Mus musculus: one gene and its partners. The protein of the gene in region 1 interacts with the protein of each later gene in a pairwise test. Links are inferred from orthologs where the notes say so. Each region holds a gene or a part of one and is shown in the gene's direction. Other genes may lie near its edges. The genes, in order: Prkab2, Bend5, Crx, Lzts2, Maged1, Pias2 and Cdx4.

The links.
Region 2: the proteins of Prkab2 (region 1) and Bend5 interact in binary tests that used the Homo sapiens proteins (3 or more experiments, as listed by UniProt). The link is inferred for Mus musculus from reciprocal best matches to the Homo sapiens genes PRKAB2 and BEND5.
Region 3: the proteins of Prkab2 (region 1) and Crx interact in binary tests that used the Homo sapiens proteins (3 or more experiments, as listed by UniProt). The link is inferred for Mus musculus from reciprocal best matches to the Homo sapiens genes PRKAB2 and CRX.
Region 4: the proteins of Prkab2 (region 1) and Lzts2 interact in binary tests that used the Homo sapiens proteins (3 or more experiments, as listed by UniProt). The link is inferred for Mus musculus from reciprocal best matches to the Homo sapiens genes PRKAB2 and LZTS2.
Region 5: the proteins of Prkab2 (region 1) and Maged1 interact in binary tests that used the Homo sapiens proteins (3 or more experiments, as listed by UniProt). The link is inferred for Mus musculus from reciprocal best matches to the Homo sapiens genes PRKAB2 and MAGED1.
Region 6: the proteins of Prkab2 (region 1) and Pias2 interact in binary tests that used the Homo sapiens proteins (3 or more experiments, as listed by UniProt). The link is inferred for Mus musculus from reciprocal best matches to the Homo sapiens genes PRKAB2 and PIAS2.
Region 7: the proteins of Prkab2 (region 1) and Cdx4 interact in binary tests that used the Homo sapiens proteins (3 or more experiments, as listed by UniProt). The link is inferred for Mus musculus from reciprocal best matches to the Homo sapiens genes PRKAB2 and CDX4.

The regions. Positions count from the first base shown.
Region 1 is NC_000069.6:97,656,953-97,661,011, forward strand, and holds the start of Prkab2 (5'-AMP-activated protein kinase subunit beta-2), read left to right. Parts: upstream 1-1,259; 5' UTR 1,260-1,417; exon of another isoform or gene 1,418-1,636; 5' UTR 1,637-1,661; coding exon 1,662-1,814; intron 1,815-4,059. UniProt on the Homo sapiens protein: Non-catalytic subunit of AMP-activated protein kinase (AMPK), an energy sensor protein kinase that plays a key role in regulating cellular energy metabolism.
Region 2 is NC_000070.6:111,413,553-111,417,805, forward strand, and holds the start of Bend5 (BEN domain-containing protein 5), read left to right. Parts: upstream 1-1,453; 5' UTR 1,454-1,622; coding exon 1,623-1,848; intron 1,849-4,253. UniProt on the Homo sapiens protein: Acts as a transcriptional repressor.
Region 3 is NC_000073.6:15,877,156-15,881,377, reverse strand, and holds the start of Crx (cone-rod homeobox protein), read left to right. Parts: upstream 1-1,422; 5' UTR 1,423-1,562; intron 1,563-4,222. UniProt on the Homo sapiens protein: Transcription factor that binds and transactivates the sequence 5'-TAATC[CA]-3' which is found upstream of several photoreceptor-specific genes, including the opsin genes.
Region 4 is NC_000085.6:45,016,653-45,020,934, forward strand, and holds the start of Lzts2 (leucine zipper putative tumor suppressor 2), read left to right. Parts: upstream 1-1,482; 5' UTR 1,483-1,578; intron 1,579-4,282. UniProt on the Homo sapiens protein: Negative regulator of katanin-mediated microtubule severing and release from the centrosome. Required for central spindle formation and the completion of cytokinesis.
Region 5 is NC_000086.7:94,539,226-94,543,471, reverse strand, and holds the start of Maged1 (melanoma-associated antigen D1), read left to right. Parts: upstream 1-1,446; 5' UTR 1,447-1,580; intron 1,581-2,147; 5' UTR 2,148-2,176; coding exon 2,177-2,221; intron 2,222-2,924; coding exon 2,925-3,617; intron 3,618-4,190; coding exon 4,191-4,246. UniProt on the Homo sapiens protein: Involved in the apoptotic response after nerve growth factor (NGF) binding in neuronal cells. Inhibits cell cycle progression, and facilitates NGFR-mediated apoptosis. May act as a regulator of the function of DLX family members.
Region 6 is NC_000084.6:77,063,848-77,068,007, forward strand, and holds the start of Pias2 (E3 SUMO-protein ligase PIAS2), read left to right. Parts: upstream 1-1,360; 5' UTR 1,361-1,548; coding exon 1,549-1,572; intron 1,573-1,625; exon of another isoform or gene 1,626-2,057; coding exon of another isoform or gene 2,058-2,060; intron 2,061-4,160. UniProt on the Homo sapiens protein: Functions as an E3-type small ubiquitin-like modifier (SUMO) ligase, stabilizing the interaction between UBE2I and the substrate, and as a SUMO-tethering factor.
Region 7 is NC_000086.7:103,320,164-103,324,197, forward strand, and holds the start of Cdx4 (homeobox protein CDX-4), read left to right. Parts: upstream 1-1,234; 5' UTR 1,235-1,396; coding exon 1,397-1,892; intron 1,893-4,034.

The DNA.
Region 1 (4,059 bases):
GGAGCTCTGGCCATTCTATGGACACCCTATACACAAAGAAAGAGAAACGGAGAAATTCTACTTACCATTTCCCCCTATCTATCTATTAGGGAGGCTAAGAAATGCATCTCTGTGGAGACAGACAACATCCTAAGGTTAGAGTCAGTGCTTCAGTAAAGAGGAAGGAAATCAATGTTAAGGTAGACCTCCAACTCTCTTTGCTACCTCACTGTTCCTTTTGAGTAATTACTTTCATTGTTTAAAATGTTAATCTATGTTTGAGTGTTTTGCCTACATGTTTGTATGTGCACCTGAAGGTGTTGTAGCGCCTGGAACAGATGATTATGAGCCACCTTGTAGGTGCTGGGACCAAACCCGGGTCCTCTAAAAGAACAGTAAGGGCTCTTAACCACTGAACCATCTCATCAGGGTTTATGACTTCTAATGGCTTTATGGTCGGCCTCATCTCACCGATCTACACACTTGTCTAAGATTCTGCCAGTGCTAATGACTGCAAGACCACTGAAACCTCAGTGGCAGACACGCTACTCTCACAGGACACCTCTCACTGTCTCAGCTCACTCAGTCTCTCCTGTGTCCAGAGTTCTTTGACCCCACTGGGCCCTCCATCAGCCTATTTTATCTTCACTTCCAGCCGACTGGTTTCAAAACGCTAGTCCAATAGTATATTCCCAGCCTACCTGTGCTCTCACTCATTAGCTGTTTGCATTAATCCACACAGCTAATCACAGTAACAGAAAACACCGCTTTGATGAGTTTGGGCATCACATAGAAGTAAGTCTTCTGCAGTAACTGCCATCACGTGTCTAGTCAATTCTCTGTCCTACTTTTTATTTCATGCCTCCTGGGACAACTAAAAAGGTTGCTTGGTAGAGGCGTACGCGGAATATGAAAATGTGGATCCACTATGCACCGCTGTCCAGTCGTTTGAGGTGATCCTGTTAAAAGTGCAGATTCTAATTCTGTACCTAGGGCACGGGGAGGCCTCGGATTCGGCTTTTCTAATAACCGCGTGCCCCATGGATAGACAAACTGCTTAGGAAGACAAGACGCCCCACTATCAAGCCCTGGGCGGACAGTTCACAGCCCTAATCCCGACCCGGACCCCACCCTCGGCCCCGCCCCAAGCCGGAGCTGCGCACGCACCCACCACAGAGGCGGTGCTGGTGGCTAGAGAGGCAGGCGACCCAGGCTGAGGAGGGGGCGGGGCTGGAGCGCAGGGGGCGGAACAAGAGGCTCGGTGGGCGGGGCCAGAGGCAGAGGCGGTACCTCGTCGCGGGCCTTGTAGCCATTTTAGGAGGAAACCCGGTTCGCTGGTTTGGGGCGCGGCTTCAATTTCAATAACTTTATTGGTCTCCTTGTACGCCGAACAGCCGGCGTGCGTGTAGCCACGCGAGCCCGGAGCGCATCGCCCGAGGTGAGCGGCGTGGGGGGTGTGCGGGACCGGGGCTGTGGGGCAGCGAGGGCTCCCGGAGCCGGTTCTCCGAGCCGAGGCGTCCGTGAAGCGGGTAAGGGAGGGGACCCCGGGCGCGGTCCCCTGCGGCGGGGATTCCCTTCCCGGGCGCAGGGGCGGGGCCGGGGCGCCCCTGACGCAGCCGCGGGGGTGTTCCCCGCCTGGTGTCATTCCCCGCGGCAGGTTGCCCCCGACTCGAGCTGCAGCCATGGGAAACACTACCAGCGAGCGGGTGTCCGGGGAGCGCCACGGAGCCAAAGCTGCTCGAGCTGAGGGCGGCGGCCATGGCCCGGGAAAGGAGCACAAGATCATGGTGGGGAGCACGGACGACCCCAGCGTCTTCAGCCTGCCCGACTCCAAGGTGAGGTAGCGGGGCTGCCGGCAGCTCCGCCCTTCTTGGTTCTTCCTCCTCATTCTCAAGGGTTATGGGCTTTTTAACTAGAAGGCTATTCCGCGGATAGAGATGCTGGGTGCTAATTCCTCCTAGATACTACCTCAAATTAGGATAGGGGCGCGGAGTTGTTTTCCTGCTGCTCAGAGTAATCTGTGGGCCAACCTTTTAGGACGAGTACCAAAAACCCATCCCCTGCCAGCCCCATCCTTGGATCTACGTGCAGGTTGCCCTCTTCCAGAGCTTGCAGGATGTATAGGTTGTGAGCGCGGGTGGAAACTTCGGAGGGTGCGTTGTCTGAGCTATTGAAAAGGGCTCAGTTTCTCACATTGGCCTCAAGATAGCTAGATGACTTCTCCCTGAAAATGTCTCTGTGTAGGTCTCCTTCTTGCTCTCTCTTACGTGTTCTGCATCACCTCTTCGATCCTCGTCCACCTTTGTATGGCTCTGAGCTGCCATCAGTTGATTACTTGAATACTTTCCCCTAGTCTTGGGGATCCATATAGGACATCATTTGGTTAATGGCTCAGATCTTTTTTTGAAACGTGCCGTTTTAAAATGTAGCTGTGAGCTTTGCACAGGAGAGCAAGTCACTTTACTTCACTCCTCAGAAGTACTTCAAAACGTTGCCCGGGGCTCAAAACCACCCTCTACTGACCTGAAGCCTTAGCTCTCAATTCCATAGACTTGGAGCCAGAGGCCACTTTTGGTCACTCAAAAGAAGAGCCAGATGGAGCTGACAGCAGTGTGATTGCTACCCTAATGTTCCTAATCACTTAGAAATGTCAGCATTAAATACATGTAATTTCTCCCGGTAGACTTTCTGGAGTGAAAAAGAAAACCCGGCCCTTGGGGATGGGGTGGGGTGGTGGACATTTATCACTTCCCAGTGAACTGAGGCTTAGGATAACAGAGTTTTATTTGCCACTTTGATGGCACATGAAATTTGAATTACACACCTTATTTTCTCCGATCGAGATTGAGAACGCCGTTAGAAAAGTGCGTCATTGAACCGGCCATTTCTTGGGGTTCCCTCTTCCCTGTTTCCTCTCCTCTAGGATTCCTCCTCATTTGGGCCCTGGACTCAGCCTAGATTTCCTTCTCCAAAGCTTATCTAGGATGACAGGCAGGCCGTGTATTTTTGCTCATTCCTACATTGATGACTCAGGATTTGGGTACAGTCAAACTGTGACTGCAGTAATTGGTGTCCTGAATAAGAGCCAGGCTGCTCTGTGTGGATTTAGGCCTGTTCTAGAACATTCTTTCCCTCATATCTTGCCCTTTGTGAAATGAAAAAAGTAGTTCAAACAATTACCCATGTCTTATCAGATTGAAAACTTTATAGTTCATGCCCTCCCCTCCACACACACACACACACTGAATTTCCTTAAACATTTGCAGGCTGTACTTTGAATGCTGCTTTGCTGCTGTTCGTGGTGATTTCGCTGATGGTTTAACTGGAGCAAACAGTTTTTCTGCAAGTCAGCAGCAGTCATTCCTACCACAGAAATGTCATGTCATAAGTGGAAGGGCTTTGCTCCAAAGCCAGGCATATTAATAGTTTAGAGCTTTCAAATCCTAAACTGAAAATCCTTAAGTCATAAACGTAATTGATAGGAACGGTGGGGCTGGGGGCATCTTTGCTTCAAAGGTCAGGGTTATCAATAGTCTTAGTCAGTGCTTCTCAGCCCTGTTTGTATGACAGGATCCCCCAAGAATGCTTTAAAAACCTTACGAGAAATCTGACACACTTATAAAATGAACTGTGTAATGAACTGTGTGTATGTCACCCTGTTTATACGGTGCTGGAAGGTCATGAAAGACTTCCTCTGGGATCCAAGCCTCTCCTCTACCAGCCACTCTGAAACAGATTTCAAACAGGTCAACAAATAGTATTTCTAACATTTTAGGACATTCCTCAAAGGTGACCGTTTAAAGCTGATATGATAGCGGCTCACACCTGTGATTTCAGCTGTTTCAGAGGCAGAGGCAGGAAAAACCTTGCCAGGCTGGACTGGAGTGAAAATTTGACCCCTAGAGAACGATAAAATATGTTTTTCCTTGTTTATTGTAATGTGATAAGAGTGTTGTTATCTGAAGGCTTTAAAAATATATATTCCCAAAATCCTATGAGGACTCAGAGACTCTGAGGGTTGTTTTGAGCCATATGTAAGCACTCCCAGTGCAACTGTCAGCCCCAGGGCATTGCTTTGAG
Region 2 (4,253 bases), on another chromosome or scaffold:
ATGAAGTGAATTTGGGAGTTTGGCTTTATCTCTATCATGAGTATAGCTGATTTGGAATGTGAGCACAGTGCCTAAAGTTTAAAATGGTTAAATGCCTTTTATTATTATTGTGAGGACTAGCAACAAGAATGTGTGTATGTGGAATATGAGCATAAAGAGTACAAGAGAAAACAAAATCTCTCACCTATGCAAGAAACTCAGAATCATAATAAACATTTCAGTGCACTTGTTTTGTTACAGGTTAAATTTATTTAAATGAGTTTTTAAAAACATAGCATTTCGTTAAATCTACCACCTCCTTTATGCATGCCTTTATGAGAATACTTTTCTCACTATAACCTCATTATTAAGCTTTCTTAATGCTCTCAGACTAGAATGAAAGATTACAAGTAGCAGAAAAAATGGGTTATTCAGACAGTAATTTAATATTGACATAGGATCCAACTGAGATTCAAGTTCTAATACTTTAGTAAATACTACAAGGTCCTAGGTATCTATTCTTTCTATAGACCACCAAGCCTACAATATAACATGGAGTGTGTGCTCAGAAAAATATTAGTTACTTGAATAAAAGAATAAGTGGAAGAATGGATGTATGTGAAATTCTGTTTATCCTTCCCCCAAAATTCACCAATCTCTCTCTGACAAATACCCTGGTATTGAGCTAGACAATTGGAATATAAATAGCTCAGTTTCCCTGTAAGCATACAATACAGAACAAGTACAACTCTCAGCCTTCTTTCTCTGGAAGGTGTGGTTTGTCTGCAGGAACCAACCTTTCCAGGTTCTCATCTGTGATTTTGGAAACAGAGAAGGGACTGCTGTTCTGCCCAGTTTGGCTCCTGAACTCAACTGACTCCAGAAAGTCCGGCCTCTGCTCTGGCTCCCTAGAGCCCTCCATCCTTGTTTCATTCCAACTGTTCCAGCCCAGAATCAACAAGTAGTGGAGGCGATTCCTCAATGGAGAAAGACCACAGGGAAGAGGGGTGCCGCTGCTCCCTTAGGATAAAAACAGCCCTGGTCTAACCCTCTGGTATCCCAGCAGCTGGTTCAACTGGAAACCTCAGATTACTCTAGTTCTGGCCAAAAACTGGTTTGGCAGCTCTAGGGGAATGTTTCTGGCTCACTGACCCTCACAGCAGGTGCTGGCAATTTTGCAAAAGAAAGAGAAAAGGGGGAAATGGGTTTGGAGGGTGGACTGAAGGAACGGAGGCGCTTAGCTAAATTCGAAACACTAAACTATTGAATCCGCCCGAAAGCGACTTTTAGCAGCGCTCCTCCTATCCTCTAACGCTACTATCATATATGCTCTTTCCCCACCTTACTGCAATCGCACTCCGGCTGTGATTGCTCGGGTCTGACTTCGCAAGTGGCGGTGTGCTTCAAAACCCCCTCATCCGCCCCTCGCCCGGCTCTCTCCACTCCCCTCCCTTTTCCGCGCCCAGGCGAGAGCAGCCGATTGGCAGAGCGGGGCTTTCAGGAACAATAACAGTGGGGGGAGCCGGGGCCCCGGGGAGCCTCCCCGCCCCCGGCCCGGCTGCGGCTCACGCCCCTCTAGGGGTCCCCACCTCCGCACCGCCCCACGGGCTGACCGGCGCCCGGGCCCGCCCCCGGCGCCCACCATGTACGCCTTTGTGCGGTTCCTGGAGGACAACGTCTGCTACGCGCTGCCCGTGTCGTGCGTGCGCGACTTCAGTCCCCGCTCGCGACTGGATTTTGACAACCAGAAGGTGTACGCGGTGTACCGGGGCCCGGAGGAGCTGGGCGCCGAGCCCGAGAGTCCCCCGCGTGCCCCTCGGGACTGGGGCGCGCTGTTGCTCCACAAGGCCCAGATCCTGGCGCTGGCAGGTGAGCGAGCGGGCCGGGAGGGGCGTTGGGACCGGGCGGACCTGGGGCTGGTTCCGGGAGAGGCCGGGCGGCTGGGGCCAGGGAGCCACCGCTTGCTCTTGCCTCCCGTTCCGACTCCTTGGGCTTTCTTTTGGGTACCAGGTGTCTCTAAGAGGCCAAACCAGTTAAAAAGACCTGAGGGTCCCCTTTGTCTTCCTTGCTTCTCTGACACTCCTGCGCCTTGCTGTCAGTCAGCTTTCTCTACTCTGCTCTCTTCTTTCTGACTCTTTTGTATTCCCCTTGGCTCTTCATTTTCTGCTTCTCTAGCTGCCTACTCTAGCTGTCATCTCTCCCATCTCTCACCTTCACCTCTCTCAGTTACTTCCCTCTGTGTTGCTTTCCATCTTAAGTTTCGAAAACTGTACCTCCCTCTCTCCCTTTAAGGCCCTTGGCGTCTCCTTGGAGCAAGAAGCAGTGTTAGGTCCTTTTGATGGGGGCCCTTTTTCACAGAAGGAATCTCTGACACTGTTCCATCTGGGCCATCATTAGGACAAGGAGACCAAACCTCAGTGTACTGCCCAAGGGGCACAGGTGAGGAGGTGAAGGGCCTTAGGTAGCCTCATCTCCACCCCACTTTATGCATCTCCCAGAAGGCTCCTTGAGAGAAAGATGGTACAAACAGTTTCTAGTTCAGGTGAGGGCCTGACCTCCTAACTCTGATCACACCTGGGGGTGGGGAAGAGGGAAAGGAGACAGGCTGACAGGCAGGCAGGTGGTCTCTTGGTTAATGGGTAAAGATAGATTCAGTTTGTTAACAGGACAAGCCTTTCGGCCTCCTGTACTATGCTGTATCACGCTGAGACATAGGTTCCTCTTCAAGCAGAAACATTTGGCCTTCTTTCTGATCCACTTGTAGAAGGCTTGGGTGCACACCAAGTGGGGAAAAGGAAGTTACCACTTCAAGGCTGGAGAGCAGAGATGTAGCTGCTGCTGGTAAGAGTGCTGCCTTTGATTGAGTAGGCAGAGACTGTCACCTTCCACCTGGAAGACAACCCGGAGATTAGGAGCTGAATGAAGACATTGCAAAGATTTCATGGTTTTGACACTTTTCCTACTTTTTCCAGGGACCTATGTTTCCTCTCCTTTAGCCTAAAAATGAACCTAGCATGAATCAAAGTGACTTGTCCAAGATCCCTGGACAAGCTGTCAGTGTATCTCAGCCTGGTGACTGATTCCTTTTTAATAAATACCTCTAGAAAGTAGGCTTACTAGAATAAAGGGCCAAAAGATTTGGAATAGATCAACACCACATGGTCCTCTTTTTGAAAGGTTAAGTACTTATCACCTCCTAGACAGGTCCTGGAGGCACAGGGCTGTAAGTCCACTTACCACCAGACACTCTGGTCCAAGAGAAAAGAATGAGCGAGGGGGGATAGGTTTAGAACGGAAGTCTTTGTGGCTGATTAGGTTTTATTTTGTTAGCGTGCTTTCCTTTAATTATCTAGGAAGGGATTAGGAACTTATTCAGCAAGAGGATAAGCCTGAGGAAATGTTAACTAGATGGAATGTTAACTGTTTGCTACAAGAAAATCGAGGGTGTTTCTTGATGATCCAGACTCACGGAGATCCAGAGAGTAGATAGGATGGGTGTCAGGAGGCAGTGGCTAAAGACTCTTTTAGAGATTGTCGGTCTCCCTGTCTATCCACTCAGGCATCCATTTCTCCATTCCTTCAGGGAGTGTAGGCACATGGTACTCTTCAAGAAGTACAGGGAGCCTAGCTAGACAGATGGCAGCCTGCACTGACTCTTCTTGTAAAATCAATACAAGTTGCAATGAGTTATTAAAATACATACATACGTACGTAGGTACATACATAGGAAACCTAGGCAGCTTCTAGAAACTTAGCAGAGTAGATGTAGAGATGAGTGGTAGCAGTTTCAGTTTCAACAAAAGGAGTGCTTCTTCTCATCTCCAGTTTTGTTTTTTGTCTTTTCAAGACAGGGTTTCTCTGTGTAGACTTGGCTGCCCTAAAACTCCATAGATCAGGCTAGTCTTGAACTCAGAAAGATTGAGTGTGTGGCAGGAAGGTGTAGAGACTTTGGCAACTTGAGGTTGGCTGGATTCCATTTTTTTCCAGTAAGCTGGTAAATTTATAAATTGGAACTGTTGTTCTTGGTGTAGACCTGATTGGAAGGGCCAGTGTAAATCCAGAAATTCGTCTATCCTGGAAGGACTCTCTCCCGTGTGTGTTGAGCTTGGTGGCTTTGAGGCTTGCTTGAAGTGACTTCACTTGAAAACTCACCTGACCTCTGCAAAGACCTGTCTGTTGTCTAACTACAGTCAGCCTTCTTGTGGACTTACGGACTCAAAACTGGAACCCATGGGCTCTTAAGATCTGGTAATCCATGGGAGCAGAGTTGTGCT
Region 3 (4,222 bases), on another chromosome or scaffold:
ACAGAGGGGGAGGGAATTACTGAGGGGGAGAGAGAGATGGCAGGAAGATGTGTATGCGTGGAGTAGCAATGGAACCTTCATTTCAGCTCAAGGATTGCAGGAAGCAAGCAGAGGCTCTGAGACCAGGCTGTAGCCTCAGGCTTAGGTGGACAGGCAGAAGGGTCTCAAATCCAGGAAGGGACCCACAGACAGTGGCAGAACGACAAAGGAGGGAGACACAGAGGGAGACAATGAGAGAATGCAAACTTGCCTTACAAAGGGAACTAGGGACAGAGTCAGAGACAAGGTGAAGGGCTGGAGGGATGGCTCTGTGGTTAAGAGCACTGGGGCTCTCCAGGAGGACCAGGGCTCCATTCTCAATACTTAATGGTGGCTTATAACCTGTAATTCCCGGTCCAGGGCATCTGATGCCCTCTTCTGGTCTCTTCAGGCATCAGGCACTCACTGTGTGTGAACACGTGGGTGCAGGCACAATATCCATGTATGTATAATCAATAAACAAATCTAAACAAGAGAGACACAGAGAGAAAGAGTCAGACATACAGAGACACTCAGAGATAAAAAGACAGAGAGAAAGAGAGACAGGGAGGAAAAGAGCCAGAACCAGAGCTGCAGAGAGACAGCCAGAGACAGAGAGATAGCGGGAGACAGAGAGTAGAGGTAGAGTCCGACACAGATGGAGACTAACAGAGAGACAGAGAGACAGTGGGAGACAGAGAGTCTAACAGAGACACAGGCAGAGATTGACAGAGACATAGAAACTCAGGGAGAGGCATAGAGACAAAGACACAAAGAAACTCAGAGAGGCAGGGTCTGAAATAGTGATGAAGATAGAGAAGCAGAGACTAGAGGCAATGGAGAAGATACAGAGCAATGGGGAGACAGAGATATAGAGAGCCCTGAGGAAGTGAGGGAAGAAGGGAGAAAGACAGAGAGGCACAGAGAAAGAGAGAGAAACTGAGGCAGAAAAAGGGAGAACCATCAAGAACTACACATTTGAATTAGTTCACTCAGTGGGGTCACAGATCTCTCTTCCCAGTTATTCTAGCTGTGTCAGAAGACTTAAAAGTTCAATACTAGCCTGGGCCACAAAGAACAACCCAGGAAGTCCTGTGCCTTTCTTTTCTGTCTCCCAGGAGCACTGTACACTTCTTTCTGTGCTTTTGAAGACATTTCTTTTCAGATAGTAGCTGAAGCTGGAGGAATACCCTTTAGACCCAAGGAAAGACTTCCCTGAGAAGTGGGGGCTCCTGGTTGCAGGCAGGAGTTGGGCTTTCCCTCCCTTCTTCATCAACCCTAATTGCCAAGATGTCACTGTGGGGGTGGTGGGATTAAGCAGACGGTGCCCTTCCCCCAGCCAATGTCACCTCCTGTTGCCCAGTGAGTCCCCCACCTTCCCTGGGATTACCCTTCCAGATCCAGGCCACAATAGATGACATCACTCCCAGCCCAGGCTTAAAGTCGCCCCGTGTGAGGGGACCTATTTCCTCTAGCCTCTGCTGTCTGATGACACCATCCAGTACCTGAACATCCAGGAGAGTCCCCATTTCTCCTTTCCAAAGGTGAGTCTTTCCAGGAGAGGCTGCGAGAATATTTTATTCTCACCCATGTTTGACATGAAGATGGGTCTTGTGATGCTTTCTGAACAGATTAACATAGGGTAGAGATTCCAGCAGGTGTTCAGGGAAACAGGTCACTTAGGACCATGATAGGAGGGAGTAAAGTCATACCAGTTGGGGACTAGTTGTTGGGATCCAGGAGTGGCTTTAGGATGAATGGATTTTATACTCTGAGGACATTCAGAGGTGGAATGTCTCATCTAAGCACACATCCATGGTGTGTGAGCATGTTCATGTGTTTGTGTGTATGTATGTCTACAATGTGTGTGTGTGTCCATGTGAGAGAGCAACCTCGGAGGACAGAGATAGACATACTGGTTGTCTTCCTAAATACTTCCATTTGCTATTTTTTCCTAGACCTCTCTATGTAGACCAGGCTGGCCTTCATCTGATGGATCTTCCTGCCCCTGCCACCCAAGTACTTAAGGTTAAAGGTGTTCACCACCACACCCAGCCTATTTCAGACAAGGTCTTTCACTGAACCTGGATCTCCCTGTGGAGCAGAGGCTGGCTGGACAGTGAGCCCTGTGTATCTGTTTGTCCCTGTTCCCCCAATGCTGGGGTTATAGTGTGCCCAGCTTTTATCTGGGTGCTGGGGTTCTGAACTCAGATCCTCACGTATGCACAGACAGTGCTTTATCTGTTGAGTCTTCTCCCCATTCCCCCGAAAGAAACCTTTTACATTTAATTTATGTTTTTTGAGAGGGAGTCTTTTGGAGCATAGAGTGGTCTTGAACTTGTTCCGTAACAGAGGCTGGTCTTGAACTCCTGATCCCGTGTACTACTGCTCCCGCTTGTTTTTTTTTTTAACTCTTTGTGATTTTTCTTCTCTGTTTGTAAGGTATATATTCATTATATAAGTATACATGCATATATATTTAGTGTGTGTGTGTCTTCTGACTCCTTTGTTGAAGTCAGATGACAACTTGCTGGAGTCTGAGTCAGTTCTCTGCTTCCACCATGTTTGATTCTTAGGAATCAAACTCAGGGTTTTAGGCTTGGTGGCAAGTGTCTTTATGGTTGATCCCTCCTGTGGCCCCTGAGATTTCCTCTTCGTTTGTGTATATACCAATACATAGATCATCTCTCCCTGGAGAACGCTGGTTCTTTTCACTGCCTGGCACTTGGGTGCTATTTGACTGTTGACAGGATGGATCCCTGTCCTATTAGATTGTTTATTAGTTAAAACACGGGCTGGGGCTGTAGCTCAGTCAAAAGATAAGCGCTAACATGTTCTACACAGCTATTTGCTCACATACAAATGGGAAAAAAATTACACTTAACATTTTTCTCTTTTTTCAAAACTATTTATATTTTTATTCACTTTACATTTGGATCACAGCTCCTCTCCCTCCTGTCTTCCTCCTCACATATCCCTTCTCTCTTTTCTCCTCCCCCTTCTCCCTCAAGAAGGGGAGACTCCCTTGGATACCACCCCACTCTGGGACATTTCAGCAGTTCTAGGAACATCCTGACCCACTGAGCCTCATCCAGGGAGTCCAAACAGTGGGGAAGGGGATCCAATGGCAGGGAACAGAAACCGAGACAGCCCCTGTTCCACTTGATAGAAGAACCACACGAACACCAAGTTGCACATTTGCTACAGATGTGTGGGTCTAGGTCCAGCTCCTGCATTGAGCTGAACATTTTGAGGCCAATGTGGCTGCTAATTTCTGTTCAATGCCAGCTCAACATAGTAAACTGGAATTCTTTCTCTGAGGTCGAGAGCAGGGCTGATGGCTAATGTTTCTAAGGACGCAAGTTACAGACGTTGAGTTTTGAAGGAAAACACCAATATTACTGACATTTTTTTGTTTATTTTTTCCTCAATGGCTGAGGCAACTCTTGTAGTGTCTGTGGTCCAAAAAATTACAGAGACATGTAGCAGGACATAGTGGTATATGCCTTTAAATTCTAGCATTCGGAAGGTAGAGGCAGGCAGATCACTGTTGGTTTGAGGCCAGCCTGGCCTACAGAGTAATTTCTAGGCTAGCCAGGACTTCATAAACTTTATATCAAAGGGAAACCTTGTCTTTATAAAAATGTGGGAGTTGGCTGGCTCAGTGGTTAAGAGTACTGGCTGCTCTTCAGGGAGACCTGGATTCCCATTCCAAGCACCCACAGGGGGGCTCACAGCTGTTTGTAATTATGGTTCCAGGGCACCCAATACTGCTTTCTGGCTTCTTCTGATGGTACCAGGTGTGTTTGTGTTCATAGAAATACATGCAGACAAAACACTCATATACAAAAACACCAACACAAAGAGAGTAACAAAAAAAAAATCCCAGAAACAGCAAAGTTTGATATTACTGTTGCATCTGTCTGTCTATCTATCTATCTATCTATCTATCTATCTATCTATCTATCTATCTATCTATCTTTTAAAAAGATTTATTTATTTAATTTACTTTTATGGGTACACTGTAGCCGAACAGATGGGATTGAATTTTTAGGATCTCTGCTCCCCAGTTAACCCTGCTCTCTCTGGTCCAAAGATTTATTTATTATTATACATAACTACACTGTAGCTGTCTTCAGACATGTCAGAAGAAGGCATCAGATCTCATTACAGGTGGATGTGAGCCACCATGTGGTTGCTGGAA
Region 4 (4,282 bases), on another chromosome or scaffold:
CGGCCAGGCTGTGGCCTGGAAGGGGGGGGGGTGCTTCTTCCTGGGGCTGAGCCCAGCTCTGGCAGACCTTGGGGGGGGGGGCGGGGGGGATCGGGGAAGGGAGGATGGCCTTGCCAGAACATGTGAGGTCGGCTGACCTGAGCAGGTCACAGAGACCCCTCAGGGAAAGTGGGTAGTTTGTGAATATGATGTAAGAAGTTTCCAGAGTGGCTGAATCCGGCTGTCATTGCGTGGAAGAGGGTTGGGAGGCTGAGTGTATTTAAAGAATGTGACTGGATGCAAAGGACTGTTGTGCACTCTCCCGTGCACGAAACACCAAGCCTTCTGTGAGTTGGCCTGAAGGATTATGGAATGAAGATCTATGGAGCCACGTGATGGATGAGACTGACTGTGGCTGCCCGAGACTGAATGTGGGAAAGGTCGTGTGGGTGTTAAGACTGTTGTTTTCGAGAGGGTAAAAATATTTGTGACCCCAAGAGAGACTTTGGGATGTCTGCTGCGGAGCCAGTGTAGGTTTGAGCTGTTCGTTCTTGAGATTATTGGGGGTCAGGTATCCCTCCCACCCCCTTTGAGCAGCGACCCTTCTCATAGCAAATGACCCCCGAGGTTCGGCTAGGGAGGCTGGAGCCATGCCAGGGACAAGCCTGGGCTCGCGGCCCGAGGGTGCTGTGCTGGAAAGGGAGTGGGATTGGTGGGGGTCTTGGGGGGGGGGGGCTGGTAAGTTGCTGGAAAGGGCCACCAGGTGGCGCCGATTTGGAAAATCCAAGCGTGTGACCTCCAGCCTGCTGGGGGTGGGACAGACAGCGACCGAGCCAGTCCCTCAACTTGTGCCCAGGAGCCGGCAACTGGAGAGGGATGGCTGACCCCCTCGGCCTCCCCATGGACCGGGAAGCTGGAGACTGAGGAGGGAAGCTTCTCCTAGAGGAGCGGAGGGGGAGGGGCGGGGCTGGCGCCGCGCCTTGGCTCTTTGTGCTGGAACAATGACCAGCTGCCGCTGGCCCTTGGGCTCCGGCAGGGATAGGCGATGGTGACCCGGCTCGATGAGTCTCGAGCCGGCCGAGCCTCCTAACACACACACACACACACACACACACACACACACACACACACACACACAGAGTCGCTAGGCCACTCTGGGAGGAATCCCGAGCGCTACCGAGCACACACACACACCACACTTAACACACACACACACACACACACACACACACACACACACACACACACACACACACACACACACACAACACACACACACACACACAGTTGCTAGGCCACTCTGGGAGGAATCCCGAGCGCCGCCGAGCAGCCCCCGCGTGCGCCCTGGCTGGCACGCGTGACGTGGGTTACTTGCGCGTGTCCGCTCCCCGGGGCGGGAACGCCCCTCGGACCCCTCCCCCCATCAGTGCGCACCGCCCACTCGGGCCGGGCGGGGGCCGGTCAGGGCCGGGGGCGCCGGCTGGGCGGAGGCGGGGCCGAGCCGGGCAGCTCCGAGTGGCCGCGCGCGGGCTGGAGCGGGCGGCGCGCCTGTGGAGTGCTGGGGCGGCCCGGGGCTGAGCATGGAGCAGCGCGGCGGAGGTGAGGGGTCCAGGGCTGAGGGTGCCCCAACTTCTAAGCGATGCGGTCCGGTGGGGAGGTGGCATTCCATAGACGCCCCCAGTTTATGGAAGGAGCGGACTATTGTGGGTGGCGGGGGGGGGGGTGGGGGGACACGACGACTCTGGGCTTTCAGTCTCGGAATGGCAACTCGTGATCCCAGACTGGATCCTGCTTGACTGGTCTCTGGAGTTTGAGTGTGTGTGTTTGGGGGGACTTTCCCCAACTCTCCAACCCCAGCCCTGAGGTCAGAGAGTTGGGACGTGGGCCAGACTCATCTCAGGCCCTGGCGCGGCCCCAGACTCTAGAACCCCCAGCTTACTTGCTGGGGTGGGGGCGCAGGGGTCTGTGTACCATAGTGATAGGTCAGGGAGTGCTGGGGAGAACCAGGGCTTTCTTTTTCCCACAGCTACAAACGCATTTCTCAAAATGGAGCCGCTTGCCCCTCCTTCTCTCTTGGGCCTCAAAAGCGGGAGCCAGGCTGGCTAGGCCTGGCTTTCCTGACGCCTGGCCCTCAGAGCTCAGCTCTGTGGCTCCTCTGGCTTTAGGGGTCCTTGCCTGTGTAGCTTCAGCGACCCTAACTCATGGGTCTGCCTCTGGCTCCTCGTGTCTGAGCCTCTTGGCCTTTGTCTCTTCTGTCTTCTGGCTCCTGTCTCTCTGAGTGTCTACCCCGGCCCTTGCCCTTCCTTCTGGGTCTCACTTTCTGTGTCCTCTGGAGTAGGGACAGGAGTGCCAGCCCCTTCTCACTCCTCACTATACTGTGGAGCAGTCTCCATCCCTAGGCTGGACCTTTTGGGGGCGATCTCAGTACCTACCCTACAGAGAAGTTGCTACACTTCAGTTCCTACCCTAGCTCTTAGCAACTCCTTCCTCACGCTGGACTCCTGTGAGTCTCTGGTCTTAACACTTAGAGGCACTTAGTGGAGAACAATATACAAAGATAAGATGGGGCAAGGGCGTCAGGCACTGTGATCTCACCTTTCCTCAAACTCTTAAGTTAAAAAAAAGTTTTAGGGAGGAGGAGTCCCCATTCACATTGGTGGCTTTGAATGTCACCCAGGTCCTCATGCACTCCCAGAACGCTCACTTATACAGATTGGTCCTGGGGAGCTTTCACACACTTTTCTTGTGTACAGTAGGAATCCATGTAACTGTCCCAGGAGAACTGCAGGCGTCCTGTAGAGATTTGTGTGTCTCAGTCTATGAGAGACTTGACTCAATGGACCCAAAGAAAGGAGGATTTTCCCTAGAATTTCATGCTAGGAGAAGAAGCAGAATGGCTTACTGAGGATAGGTGACTGGAAGATTTAGTGGTATTTACACAAACCTCACATATGTGTGCACAAACTGGTATATCTATCCAAACATTTCTCTTTTTGCCATATAGTGACATCCAGAGCCCACAGATTCATTTGTTTTATACACATTAATAACTGTGTGGTGTGCTTTCTAAGTTACGAAACTCATAACTTTGTAAAACATAAGAATTCACACATACAGCCTGGTGGTGGTAACACACACGCCTTTAATTCCAGCCCTCAGAAGGCAGTAAGAGGTGGATCTCTGAATTCAAGGCCAGCCTGCTCTACAGAGCAAGTTCCAGGGCAGCCAGGGCTACACAGAGAAACCCTGTCTTGGAAAAACAAACAAACAAAAAACAAACAAAACAGCAAAAAAGAATTCACAGTGGGCAGTGGTGGCGCACACCTTTAATCCCAGCACTTTAGAAGCAGAGGCAGAAGCAGGCCGATTTCTGATTTCAGGGCCAGCCTGGTCTACAGAGTGAGTTCCAGGATAGCCAGGGCTATACAGAGAGAACCTGTCTCGAAAAACCAAAACCAAAACCAAAAACAAAAAAAACCACACATACAGCTCGGCATATTTGCACAAGGTTAGAATCCCAGCTCTCTGAGGCAGGAGGATCTGAGTTTGAGGCCCACCTATGGTACATAGCACAACCCTGTTTGGTTTTGTCATGTCCCCTACATCACACACACACATATACACACATGTATGAACGTACTGACATCTGTCTAAACCCACATGGACTGCACAGTTTCATGCATATTCTCACAGATACTGTTCATTTTTTTATGACCCTGTCTATGTACTCACACCCACAAGTAAATGTACACACACACACACATACACACACACACACATACACACACACACACATTCTTCTTTCTCATGGATCCTCAGTCCACTTTTTGGCCCCTTTGCTCTGTGATGACTTCAGCAGATGCCTAAGTCTTGGTCATCGGCAGCCTTGGGACTGGGCGGGAGTTCCGTTCTGGGTGCAGGCTTGCTGTTCTTTCCAGGAAGGAGTAAGACTAGGGGAGGCGGAGCCAGCCATCTTACTTGAGCTCCTACTAGACGTGGTAATGGGCTCCTGCTCAAATTCCATAGGGGTTATTCTGAAGATCAACTAAAGCAGGAAGGTTTATAAAGGTTGGCAGTGGGACAGGGCCTGGGTAGGCTCCCTTAGTCCCGAGTGATGGCAGAAGCTAAGAGTGACATGGAAACAAGCACAGCCTGCATCAACCTCTGGGAGGTAGGAGAGACCCCAGAGGGCACCTGTGGATTCCTAAGACCTGTAAGGTTTCCTGTTTGGCCAGCTCCACCCTCGAAGCCGCCTGAGTGTCTGGGAGAAACTGAGGCCCAGTGGTGGGAGGCTGGACAGCGC
Region 5 (4,246 bases), on another chromosome or scaffold:
TTCGCATCTGTATGCCATCTTTCTGCGTTTGTTTCCCCAGCTGTCCTGGAAGCACAGCTGGCTGTGTGTCCTTGGGCACGACCCTCTTTGCGGGATTCCTGTTTTGGATAGTAGTGAGTAAACCAGGCTCAGAGAAGTCCACTAAAGTGTAGTGACTATATCTCAGGGGACTCACACAGCGAGGGACAGATAGGGCAGACACTCCTCCCGGAATTCTAAAGCCAAGGCCAGCTTCATTCTGCAAGAACAAGGCAGACACACCTGAATGCTCTGGCCGCTCCAGCAGTCACCAAGAAAGCCTGCGGTCTCGCTCCTGGAGACTGCCTACTAAGAGGAGCACAGAACGAACCTAAAGGGTCCCCACACATGCCAGGCCTCCTAGAACACAAGCCTTATTCCCATGGAACAAATATTGGGGAGAGGACAGCTTGTTATTCCAATAGAGGTTGAAGGAGTGCCCCTGTTCTCAGACTAGATTTTACACTCAGGAAAATCCAGGCCCCTCATGGATGGTTTTGTTTGTCTTTTAGATCAAGTCTCAGAGTTGCACAGCTGGCCTGGAACTCAGGGCTTTCCCTGAGTCCCCAGAGTGCTGGGATTACCAGCCTGCGCAGCGGTGCTGGGGCAGGTTCTGGCCTTTCTGTGTGGTACCAGCTCAATGCCCCGGGCTTCTGCATTAGCTACCTGGTGTGTTAAATGAGAATGTTGCACTCCATCCATCTCCCTAAAACAGCCTGCAAGAAAAACAAGCCCCAGGGCAGACCCCACAGCCCAACGCCTTTCCCTCACCTCTCTAACCCAGCCCTCAAAAAGGGTTTCGATGGGCAAAAACTGCCAAAAGGGCGAGAGAAAAAGCTCATTTTCTGAGTCCAGTGAGAGGAAACCTATAGATCCCCCCCCCCCCCGGGCGACCCTTGCTCCGGTATCTCTGCAATGGTTTTTTTTTTTTTTCTGGCCTTTAAGGTTTCTGCGTCGTAGAGTGGGTGAACTCAGCAGAGGCCTAGCATGTTTCGAAATAAGAGACCCCCGCGGGGGGCCTACCTACGGGGCTCTGCACACGGGGGTGGGCGGGAGCTGCGGACCTGGCTAGAGAGAGTTCGGGAAAAAGGGCGGGACTGAGCATAGACGCATTGCGGAGAAAGGTAGGGGGCTGGTGTGTCGGGCCAGGGGGTGGGACCGAAAGGCGCTGCGCATCTGTTGAAGGAGTGGATGCGTAAGGAGAAGGGGAGGAGGAACCTTTGTCCACTGTCAACCTGGTTGGCGGTGGGATAGTGTGCTGGCAAGGAGGCGGGCTCTCCTCCAAGTGCACATGCGCAACAATGGCTCTGGGATGAAGCTTTTGTTGGGAAAGCAAGCGGGACTCTTATTTGGACAGTGATCTGCTGCGCATGCGCGGCGCGTCCAGAGGCGGTGGGTGGTATATTAGGCGGAGAGGCGGGGTCGCCCGAGCTGCCGCGCTGGCATTTTCTCCTGGACGCGGAGAGAGTGCGGGTGCCGAGAGCCGGACAGAGCCATTCCCGATCCTCTTGAGTCGCGAAGAAGGAAACAGCGAAGGGATTGGGGTTCGGCCCTGAGGCAAGGTGAGGTTCGCCCCCAGACGGGGCATCTGCCCCCCTGGCGCGGCGTCCTTCCGCCATTCTTTTCTCCCAGTCCCTTCACCCTGGATTCGGAAGCCCCCTGCTCTGCCTGCTCCCGGATTCAGACCCTGCTCCCGACCCTTTTCTAATTTGAAACTCCGTCCGTCCCCCTGAATCTTTTCTCCAGTTCCCTCCCCGAATCCTATTTCCCGACCTTGATCCCGTTAGATGGTTCCTCTGAATTCAGAACCTTAATTCAACTTTTCGGACGCCCGTGTCTCCCCGCTCGCCGCCCTCCCTCCCCGCCCCCGTAAACTACCGCATCCACAGCTCCTCTCTGACTCCAAAACGGCAGCGCTGAAGCTTTTCCCTGGCCGCGTCTGAGATTGGAGATGGTCTAGCGGGACGACCGGTTACTTTTCCCGCTCCGCTTAGGCCTGGTTCTCCCCCCGGACTCGGCACCTCACCCGCCCCCAGAATCAAAGCACACACGCACACAGAATTCGGTCCTATGTCTTTTCCTTCTGTAGTGTAATGCCCAGCTCCTCTCTCCCACACCCCCCCCCTTAGGCTCTGCTCTTGCCAGGGAGACGAGAGCTATGGCTCAGAAACCGGACGGCGGTGCAGGCCTCCGCGGCTTCCAGGTGAGGACCCCGCTCCCAATTCCCCCATTTTTCCCCTGCTGACAGTTTACGCCCACCCCCGGCCCCTTAGGTCGCGCGAATGGCAGGATCTGATTTTGCCCTTCTTCCGGCCTAGACACCGCGGGCTCTCAGATTTCTAGCGTTTATCGAATGGGGGGGAGGGGCGGCCCTTTTCAGCCATCGGTCCCTGCTTAGAGAAAGGGGAGACCCTGTTAGTCAGGGCATTCTGCCCAGAGAATGCGGGTTGGGTAAGGAACCATTTTTTTTCCATAACCCTGACGCGTGTAGAGCAGTCTGTCGCCCCATCCCCCAACCTCTCGCCTCCACCCTCCCTTTCTCCACGCCGCGAGACTCCCCCTCCACCCTCTCGGCTTATCCTCCTTGATTCCTCCCTCCTCGGGTCTTGAGCTCCCCACCTCAAGCCTAACCAGTCCGTCTCTAAACCCATTTGGGGCTCAGAGCTTGCACCACATTCCGCACCAGCCCCTGCTGCCACAGACTGTCCCTCACCTTGCCCTGCCCCCTCTACCCTTAATTAAATTTTGTTCGCGCCCCGCCTCCCTTTGACCCGCCTCTGCCCCCACGTCTGAGTACTGTGACGCCTGTCTACAGCTCCCCTGCTGCGTTGCGCCGCGCCCCCCCCCTCCTCTGGTCTGCCATGTAAGGCTCAGAGATTGAAATGTTGCCCCTCCTGTGTTTGCAGGCTGAGGCCTCTGTTGAAGACAGCGCCTTGCTTGTGCAGACCTTGATGGAAGCCATCCAGATCTCCGAGGCTCCGCCCACCAGCCAGGCCACAGCAGCTGCCAGTGGGCCAAATGCTAGTCCCCAGAGTTCACAGCCCCCAACTGCCAATGAGAAGGCTGATACTGAGGTTTCAGCAGCTGCTGCCAGGCCTAAGACAGGCTTTAAGGCCCAGAATGCCACCACAAAGGGGCCAAATGATTACTCTCAGGCACGTAATGCCAAGGAGATGCCCAAGAATCAGTCTAAGGCGGCCTTTAAGTCACAGAATGGCACCCCTAAAGGTCCACATGCTGCCTCTGACTTTTCCCAGGCAGCACCCACAGGCAAATCAGCTAAAAAGTCTGAAATGGCCTTTAAGGGTCAGAATAGCACTAAGGCTGGCCCCGGTACCACCTACAATTTCCCTCAGTCTCCCAGTGCCAATGAGATGACCAACAACCAGCCTAAGACAGCTAAGGCTTGGAATGACACTACTAAGGTCCCTGGAGCTGATGCCCAGACCCAGAATGTAAATCAGGCCAAAATGGCTGACGTAGGGACCAGCGCAGGTATCTCTGAAGCTGATGGTGCAGCAGCCCAGACATCAGCAGATGGCTCCCAGACTCAGAACGTGGAGTCCCGGACTATAATTCGGGGCAAGAGGACCCGCAAGGTGAGATCCCAGCTAGCTTCCCTTTGCTTTGGGCTCTCTCCTTTCTTCCAATTTCCTTGGCTCCAAACACAATAAAGGGCATGGATTTATCTGTATTTTGGCACAGTTGTAGGGGGTGCTAAGGTAACTATTATTCCTGAGCCCAGGTTGTCCACAGGCTGATGATGAGTTGATACAAGGACACAGGCAATATGTGTGTAGGCCATCTTACATTTTGACATTAAACACCATGTCTTAAGCTAGGCAGGCTCACACAGAATCAATTAGATCTTGAAGATGTACCTCACTCTCTAGAGAGAACAGAGTCAGGAAGAAACGAGTTCAGGGTGAAACCAAGCACTGTCCGTAGTCACACAGGAAAAGGAGAAATCTAGGTCCCACTTTCTGTTTGTTTGTTTGTTTTTTCCTTTGTCTGGTTTGGAGATGAAACGCCTGTCTGAAAGACAAAGAGAATCAAAGTGACCAGTGGCTAGTGAGGTGTAGGTGAAGATTCCTAGGTACTTCCTAAGATAGCAACTGGGAGGACCCAGGATTAATAGTGACCCTGAAATTTTCTTCTCTCTAATTATACAGGTTAATAACTTGAATGTGGAAGAGAACAACAGTGGGGATCAAAGGCGTGCCTCACT
Region 6 (4,160 bases), on another chromosome or scaffold:
TTTATATGTATACCGTACTTCAGTTAGCTCTTGGGCAAGAGTTTAAGGAGAGGCAGTCTAGAGCTTAGTTTTGTTTTTGTTGTTTGTTTTTCTATGTTGGGAATGGAGGCCAGGAACTAACAGAGTCTAGCCCAGAGCTTACCACTGGACTATGGCCTAACCTTATCAAGGCATTTGAATTAGTATGTTTGAAGAAAGATCCTTGTATGCTAAGGAGAACTGACGGAGGTATAGAATAGGAATTCTTTGCTCACAGATCAACACTTTAAAACTCATACAAGTGCAATGTTCTCAGAATGACTGTAACTGGAAAGAAGCCTTAGGTAGTAACAATATTAAACGGATTCCGTCAGTCTTATCAATGAAATCTGAACTGTGTGTGACCAGCCAGTTTGACTCTGCATTATGTCTGTCATTATGTGTTTTTTTTCATTCTCACACTTTATTCTAGGCTGGCTTCCACCCGGCTGCATAACAATCGCTCATCCTCCTGCTTCAACATCCCAAGTCCAAGTATCTGTTTTATTTCTCCTTTTTTCATTCTTCCATCGAATCTGGGAATATCGGCAATCTTTCTTCTATCTCTCGTCTCTTCATTTTATTTTTCTTCAGCTATCAGGATTTCCTGACTTTTTTCATCAGAGTTTTCTGGGGTGCTCTCTTTTACTTCACTTTTCTCCTCACCGTACCCACAATTCTTTCAACGTTGCTGTCCAGGCCGTTGACATCCCCTTCAAGGTCAGGAAAAATATCAGCCAAGGTGAAAAATTAAGACACAAATTAAAAGGTCTTAGCCAACTGGGTGTGGTGGCACACACCTTTACTCTCAGCACTTGAGAGACTCAAGGAGCAGGTGAATCTCAAGTTCGAAACTGCTCCACGAAAGAGTTCCAAGCAAGCCTGGGTTACACAGTGATGCCCTCCCTGTCTCAACAACAGAAACACAAAACAATTCTTATCCGCGATCACCATTAACTTGGAACAACGGTTTCCACATCACCCTTACTTGGCTTATCCTATCACAGCCACTCTGGGGATGGCACTGAGAGAATCTTCTCGAGTGTTTCCGTGAGTCCTGTCCACTCTCTTCTCTCGGTCACTTCCTCAGCCGAGGCGGTCCTCCAAGTCCCGGGAGAAGGCCACAGTTCCGGTACGAGCCTCGGGAGCTGCCCGCTCTGCCGGTGCGGGGAACAGGGTGAGGGGAGGAGACAGGAAGCGGCGAGCAGGACCGCGCTCGGTAGGGACAGGCCACCAACCGGAAGCGCGTGGGTCGGGGGCGCGCTCGGGCGGAAGACCGCGCGCGTTGGGTTGGGGGCGCCGCGAGGGGCGGGGCCAGCGCGCGCCGGGGGGCGGGACTCCCGCGCAGGTCACGTGAGGGGCCCGGTGGAGGTGGTGGAGGTGTCGGCGCGGCGGCGGCGGCGGCGGCGGCGGCGGCCGCGGCGTCTAGAGCGGCGCCCAGTGCAGGATGTTGCAGGAGACGGCGGCGGTGTCGTTGGCGGCAGCGGGTGGAGGAGCGGCGACGGCTGAGGCGCCTGCGGGCGGGAGAAAATGGCGGATTTCGAGGAGTTGAGGGTGAGCGTCGCGGGGGCGGGGGGTGGGGGGGGCTGAGCGGAGGCCGCAGGGCGGGGGGAGGGGAGGCGGGAGCAGCGCGGCGCCGCCGCTGTCGCCGTCGCGGTCGTCGCCGGGGCGTGCGGCCGGCTGGCGGAGCCGTACGGTCCGGCGCCGCGCGGGCGAGGGCAGGCGGATGGCCCTGGCACCCGGCGGGCCGCACACCTGGCGGGGCGGGTGGCTCGATTCGGCTGGGCACGGGACAGCCAACGGCGGTCGCCTTTGCGGTGGCGACCCCGGGGCACGCCGTGACCGCCCGCCTTCGGAGCCGTGAAGGAGTTGCGTTTAGGGAGCTCCCTGTCCCCCGCTGGGGTCTAGGCAGGTCTGTCACGAGATGAGGCCCCTTCCTCCCACCCCGTGCTGTCTCCCTCGGCGTGGGGAGAAGCGCGCTCTTTTGGGAACGCCGCCTTCCGTAGTCGGCCTCCTACCCAGAGACTTGGTTTGTAACCATGGTAAGAAAGCTTCTGAGTCCGTGTTGTCATGTGTGTGTAGTCGGTGCTCTTGAGGAACAACTGTTTGCTAGCATGAGAACAAGGTCATAACTTTATCGTTGGTGCCTTTGTAGTCGGGCTCTAACGGAGAGGCTGGTGGAGGTTATAAGAAAAAAGGATTTATTTTTTTCCTCCATTAGATAATCTTCACAGAAACCTTATCCCAAACTAAGCCAGGTATGGTGAGCTGCATTGAAGGCCGAGTTACTGACGACATATGTGGGATGTTTACAGATAGAAACCCTGACTCGTGCGTGTGTGTGTGTGTGTGTGTGTGTGTGTGTCTGTCTGTCTGTCTGTCTGTCTGTCTGTCTGTTTTAAAGTGGAGACAGAAGTATATATAGATTTGAAGTTAAATGAACTTGCAGCCAGTTGGGGTACCTTAGGCACGTTTGGTGTTTGGGTTACTTTAATCTGGTTCTGCTTTGTGAGACTGTTATTGTTTGTGGGAAAAGGATGTTGGCAGGCCGGACAGCCAACAAAAGAGTGAATGTGAAAGCTCGCATAGGGCCTACCATTTTCTCTCCTGTTTCAGGAAAGATTGATTTTATGGTTACATGTTGTATCCCTTATCAGTTTATACAGGTAGCATAACTGACAAGGGCAATTGAACCGTATCCATCCTAAGTGTTTAGTGGAGCTCCTGAGATAGCCTGAGCCTCACTCACTACAGTAAATTTTTACCTGCAGTATTACCTTAACTTTTGCACATTAAACAGATGTATATTTCCTCTCAAAAGGAGATGTAGCTTTTTTTGGTTGGTGAAAACCTCCTAGGTGTATTAGACTTTTAGAAATGTCACTGGTTTAAGGGAAGAATTGACCTTAATCATAAAGGGTGGAAGAAAGGACATCAGTACTCAAATTGAAGTGGAACCAGGCAGGACCTTAGAAGCAGTCCCTTTCAGATGTCTCTGTTTTGTTTTGTGGCAAGCTTCATTTTCTCATCTCTAAATCAACTTGGTTTGGCCTCTCCTTGTGCTTGGTAAAAGATAGTATTGTTGGTTTCCCCAGTCATATAGTAAGTGACCAGCAGAGACTTAACCCGAGTTTCCAGAGGAAAGGTAGGAAGGCGGAGTTCAGCAGAATTAAACTCTGTTTTGCTTAGGGCAGACCCATGTTAGCTTGTATTTTAAAAACTTTATCTCAGTCCACAGTGCAGAAAGTGATGGTGGTACATACTCATTTTAATATCACCGAATACATGCCAGACTCGCTTCACATACTTGACATATACATTGTATTCTCCTAATTCTATGAAGACAACAAACACACATAAACTTTCACCTATATTATCCTTTGAGAGGAGAAATGCTAAAATTTTAAACACTAGTTATCTGATTTTAGAATCTTGAGTTCATGTTTGATTTCATTGTTCAGGTGTCCTCGGAACTAGGTGGGATTCCTAATTTTTCTATTTATGGGATAAATTAAATGATAAATACCATCCTTTTGTATCATAAAAGTGGAAGAAAAACAGAGCCCCTCTAAAAAACCCAACCCCCCAAAAAAACAAACAAGCAAGCAAACCAAACCGAAACAACAAAACCCAAAAACTATAATCTGAAAGAAAGAGAAGGGGAAGAAATATCCAGGACACTCAGAATGATGGTTTCTGGCACAGACTATATTCAGATGATCATAGTGATAGTTAATTACATTATAAAATAAAAAAAATTTTATGGACATTAGCTTTCTGGTTATCTTGGCAGTGGAAGAAATGGTAGACTGATTGGGGTACTGTAGTTTAAGCTGTTGAGGATCAGTGTAGCATTAGTCAGCATGTGGCTGGTACTGTCCATTTTGGATGAAGATCATCCCCTCATTTTAGTAATCATGTTCTTTCACTTTTTAGGCTTGGTGTGGTGGGGGTGGGGGGAGGGAGATGTCATTTTATAAGTGTGGTTTGAATAGGTATGACCCATAGATTCAAGTGTTTGAATGCTTGGCCTATAGGGAATGGCACTGTTAGAATGTGTGGCCTTGTTGGAACAGGTGTGACTTTGTTGGAAGAAGTGTGTCATTGTTGGGGTGGGCTTTGAGGTCTCCAATGCTCAGGCT
Region 7 (4,034 bases), on another chromosome or scaffold:
CAAAAAAACTGTATTCAGTGAATGAGTATAGCAGTCAAGCTGGTTACAGGTGTCATCTTTGAGAATCCTGCTTTATAATGCAGATGCAGTCAGGGCTTCTCTCTCTTTTTTTTTTTAATTTATTTATTATATGTAAGTACACTGTAGCTATCTTCAGACACTCCAGAAGAGGCATCAGATTTCTTTACGGATGGTTGTGAGCCACCATGTGGTTGCTGGGATTTGAACTCAGGACCTTCGGAAGAGCAGTCGGCGCTCTTAACCACTGAGCTATCTCGCCGGCCCCGGGGCTCCTCTTTTTAAATGGGTGACTGTGTCTGGGATATAGGTGGTGGAGTGCTTACCTAGTTCATACTTTTGGAAGGAAATTGCAAGTCTGCTGTAGCTGCCATGGATTTCAAACTCCATGAGTTCCTGTCCTTTAGGGCACTGACTTTGAAGAAGACAGACGGAAACTAATACATTACTATGAAGTTCAGAGTATGCACTACCCACTTGCGCTCTCTCCCCTTTTCATGGCTCCTTCTTCTTCTTCTTCTTCTTCTTCTTCTTCTTCTTCTTCTTCTTCTTCTTCTTCTTCTTCTTCTTCATCTCCTCCTTCTCCTTCTTTAATGTGTGCATATTTGTTAGCATCTAATTAGGTAACCTTCCATCCAACTGGAATCTAACTTTAGGAAGCTAGAAGTATATGTCAGTGCTGTTTCCCAGTGCCTACAACAATTCCTGACCCACTATGGATACTGAATATACATTTGTGAAACAAATATCTATCTGTCCAGAGAAACAAAGCCCTCTCCTTGTGTGTGAGAGAAGGGAAAATCCTTGCCAGTGGCATGATGGGCCAGTAACAGCTGGAAAGTCCATACAGGAGAGTATGGGCAGAGGGGAAAACCTGGAGAGCAAGCTGGGCTCTGGAAGATCAGGGAAAGGCAGGCCTCAGTGAAAGGAAGCAAGACTTTGCGCTTCTCAGTCTCATTTTGAAGAAGCCAATGAGAAATTTCTTGAGGAACAACTGCCTCCAAAAGCGCAAAAGTGGTGCTACGAAACCAGAAGAGTCCCTGAAGTGGCGCTGATGGGCTAGGAGCTAGGGGGAGAAGGTGTTTGGAGTGAACAAGAAGACGTTAAGTGGCCCTTCATTTGAATGCAAATGCTATGTAAAAGCTTGAAGCCCCTTGACGTCAGCCCAGCCTTTGGTAACCCTCCTATGGCTCACTACCAGTCACCTGGAAATTTAGGGTAGGAAAGGAAGGATGGAGTAGTCCGAGCCGCGCAGAGGAGCTAGCAGCGCTACTAGTGCTGACCGTTGATAGTCTCTTGCGTCTCAAACTCGGGTTGGCGCTAAGTTTACAGGGACCTCAGGATGGCTTAAGGGGCAACTTCTTCTATCCAAGTCACCATGTATGGAAGCTGCCTTTTAGAAAAAGAAGCGGGCATGTACCCAGGCACTCTCAGGAGCCCTGGAGGAAGCAGTACAGCCGGAGTGGGCACCTCTGGGGGCAGTGGTAGTCCTCTGCCTGCCTCCAACTTTACTGCAGCCCCAGTTTACCCACACTACGTGGGTTACCCTCATATGTCCAACATGGATCCTCACGGGCCTTCGCTGGGAGCCTGGAGCTCACCCTACAGTCCGCCCCGGGAAGACTGGAGTACATACCCTGGGCCGCCCAGTACAATGGGCACAGTGCCCATGAATGACATGACCTCCCCAGTTTTCGGATCCCCAGACTACAGCACTCTGGGCCCCACCAGCGGTGCAAGCAACGGCGGTAGCTTGCCAGACGCGGCCAGCGAGTCACTGGTTTCTCTTGACTCCGGCACCTCAGGCGCCACTTCTCCCAGCAGGAGCCGTCACAGCCCCTACGCATGGATGCGCAAAACTGTGCAGGTGACGGGTGAGTAATCCATCGTTCCGCTGTTTCTTCTCTTCTCTACCCTTGGTCCGCTACCCTCTTACTCTTCACTCTACGTCCCCGTAGGAGAGTTCAACTAAGCAGCCCACAGCGTAGCTGGCTGATGGGATCAGTAGTTCCCTCCTTTGCGCCTAGGTTCAAAGCCGGTTAAAAGTAGCGCTTGGAACTAAACCTCTCCTGGGGGTTGTTGAGGTGGGTTTGTTTGTTTGTTTGTTTGTTTAGGTGGTTGGTTGGTTGGGTTTTGGTTTGGTTTGGCTTTACCCTTTCCAGATAAGTCAAGGGAGTAAGGGTATGGACAGTGTTCCTGATGAACCACAAGGATCGGGATCCAATCCTGTCGTTGTCCGGAGGGAAAAAACCAGAAGCACATCATGATGAACAGGGTGAAGGACAGCTAAGGTTGTCATGGTGCTTGCCGGTTTTATCTCCAAATCTTTCCCTACCGCGGTATGCAGCCTCGCTGAAAACTTGTGATGCTCAACTTAGTAGGTGCTTAGCTGGCAACCGACGGCCGAGCCTAAGAAGGCTTCCAAGGCAAAAAACGGCCCTCGATACAAGATGCCTAAGGAAGCTACATCTTCCGTCGCCCAAATTAGAAATGTCTTGAAGCCTATTCCAATGTCCCTACCAACCGAAGGAAGCGTTAAGGTGAACAAGGTTACAGAACTGAGCTGTCATTTCATAGGACACAATCCTTACATCCGCCAGGCACACAACCCAACTGTTCCAAGTATTATTATCTCCCCCCCCCCACCCCCGCCACTAAGTGCCTAAAGCTCTCATAGCTATTTCAGCAGGTGGCCACAAATGCAGAAGCAGAATGCAAGTCTGCGACAGCGTCAAAACACTAAAAGGTGTAAGGACCCCAGTTTAAGGTCTAATGTCGCTGACCAATAAGCCCTGGCGGGCAACTGGGAGCAGCTAGCTGGTGGGGAGGGAGGCGCGAGCTTAGAGGAAATGAAGACTCCACTGTAATTCTTAGACTGGGAGCCAGTGACATGTTTGTTTACAGCTGTGGTTGTTCTCTTAACATTTTCTTATTATTCCAATACTTGTTCCCTGTCATTAGAGGACATTAGTGACATTTGTCTATCACATTCACCCCTCTGGGGAGGCAATGATATTTCAATAGTATTTGTCCATGTGTTTTCCCTTCTCGCTCTTCCAAAAAGCAAAGGTGAAAGGATAGGGAGGTAACATTTTTTTACCTTTAGGAGAATTTTCAGCCAGAAGGAGGAAGCTCCAGTTTTATAACTAGGGTAGAGATCCCAAGTTAAAAGTAACACTTAAGAACTTATATTAAGAAGAAAATATGGATAAGTCATGTAACTTTAAAAAATAATAATAAGGCTAGGGTAGGGCATTCATCCCCAGAACTGTTGTTACATCTAATCTTCAGGGTAAAAATAACATCCATTCACTAAAACCTAAGAATAAGCAAAATACATATTTTAAAAAGGACATAAAAATACCTACTGTCTAGGATTGTCCTTTGAAATACTGTAGGGGGAAATGTCACTAGCACATTTTTTAGAATGGAAAACAATGTGAGGAAAATGACACAATAAGAAAATTCAGTTGTGACGATTTGTCTTTGTGTTGCTGAGGGGAAACATGACAGTTTTCTCTGTTTTGCTTTAAGTCTTCCATATATATCTCAGAGCCTTCTTTGGGTAATTCTGATGCCAAGAGAAGTTGAGAAGGGATCCCCCCATCTACTCTGTGTTACTTCCTCTCTTCCATGTTTAGTAGAAGCTCAAAACTGAGAATGAGGTTATAGCTCCTTGGACTCTTGGCAACTTGTCCTATAGGCAAAGTTTTGTTAACATCAACATTTGTTTCATTTGAATTCCTTGTAAGTTAATACCATCCTTTTGCATATTCTTATAGTTCAGGTTGTTATTCATCAACAGTTTAAGATGAGAGCACCCCACACATATAAGTGATACTTTTCATAAGTTCTGGAAATTCTAGACTCACTGAATATCTTTCATGATATTGGGCCTTAAACTCCACAAAAATCAATGTCATCACCCCATTGAACACTCCAAACCAAAGTATACCCCTTTATATTAGCAAGGGAGCAGATGTTAAAGGTCTGTTAAGTGAACGGACAAGTCAGAG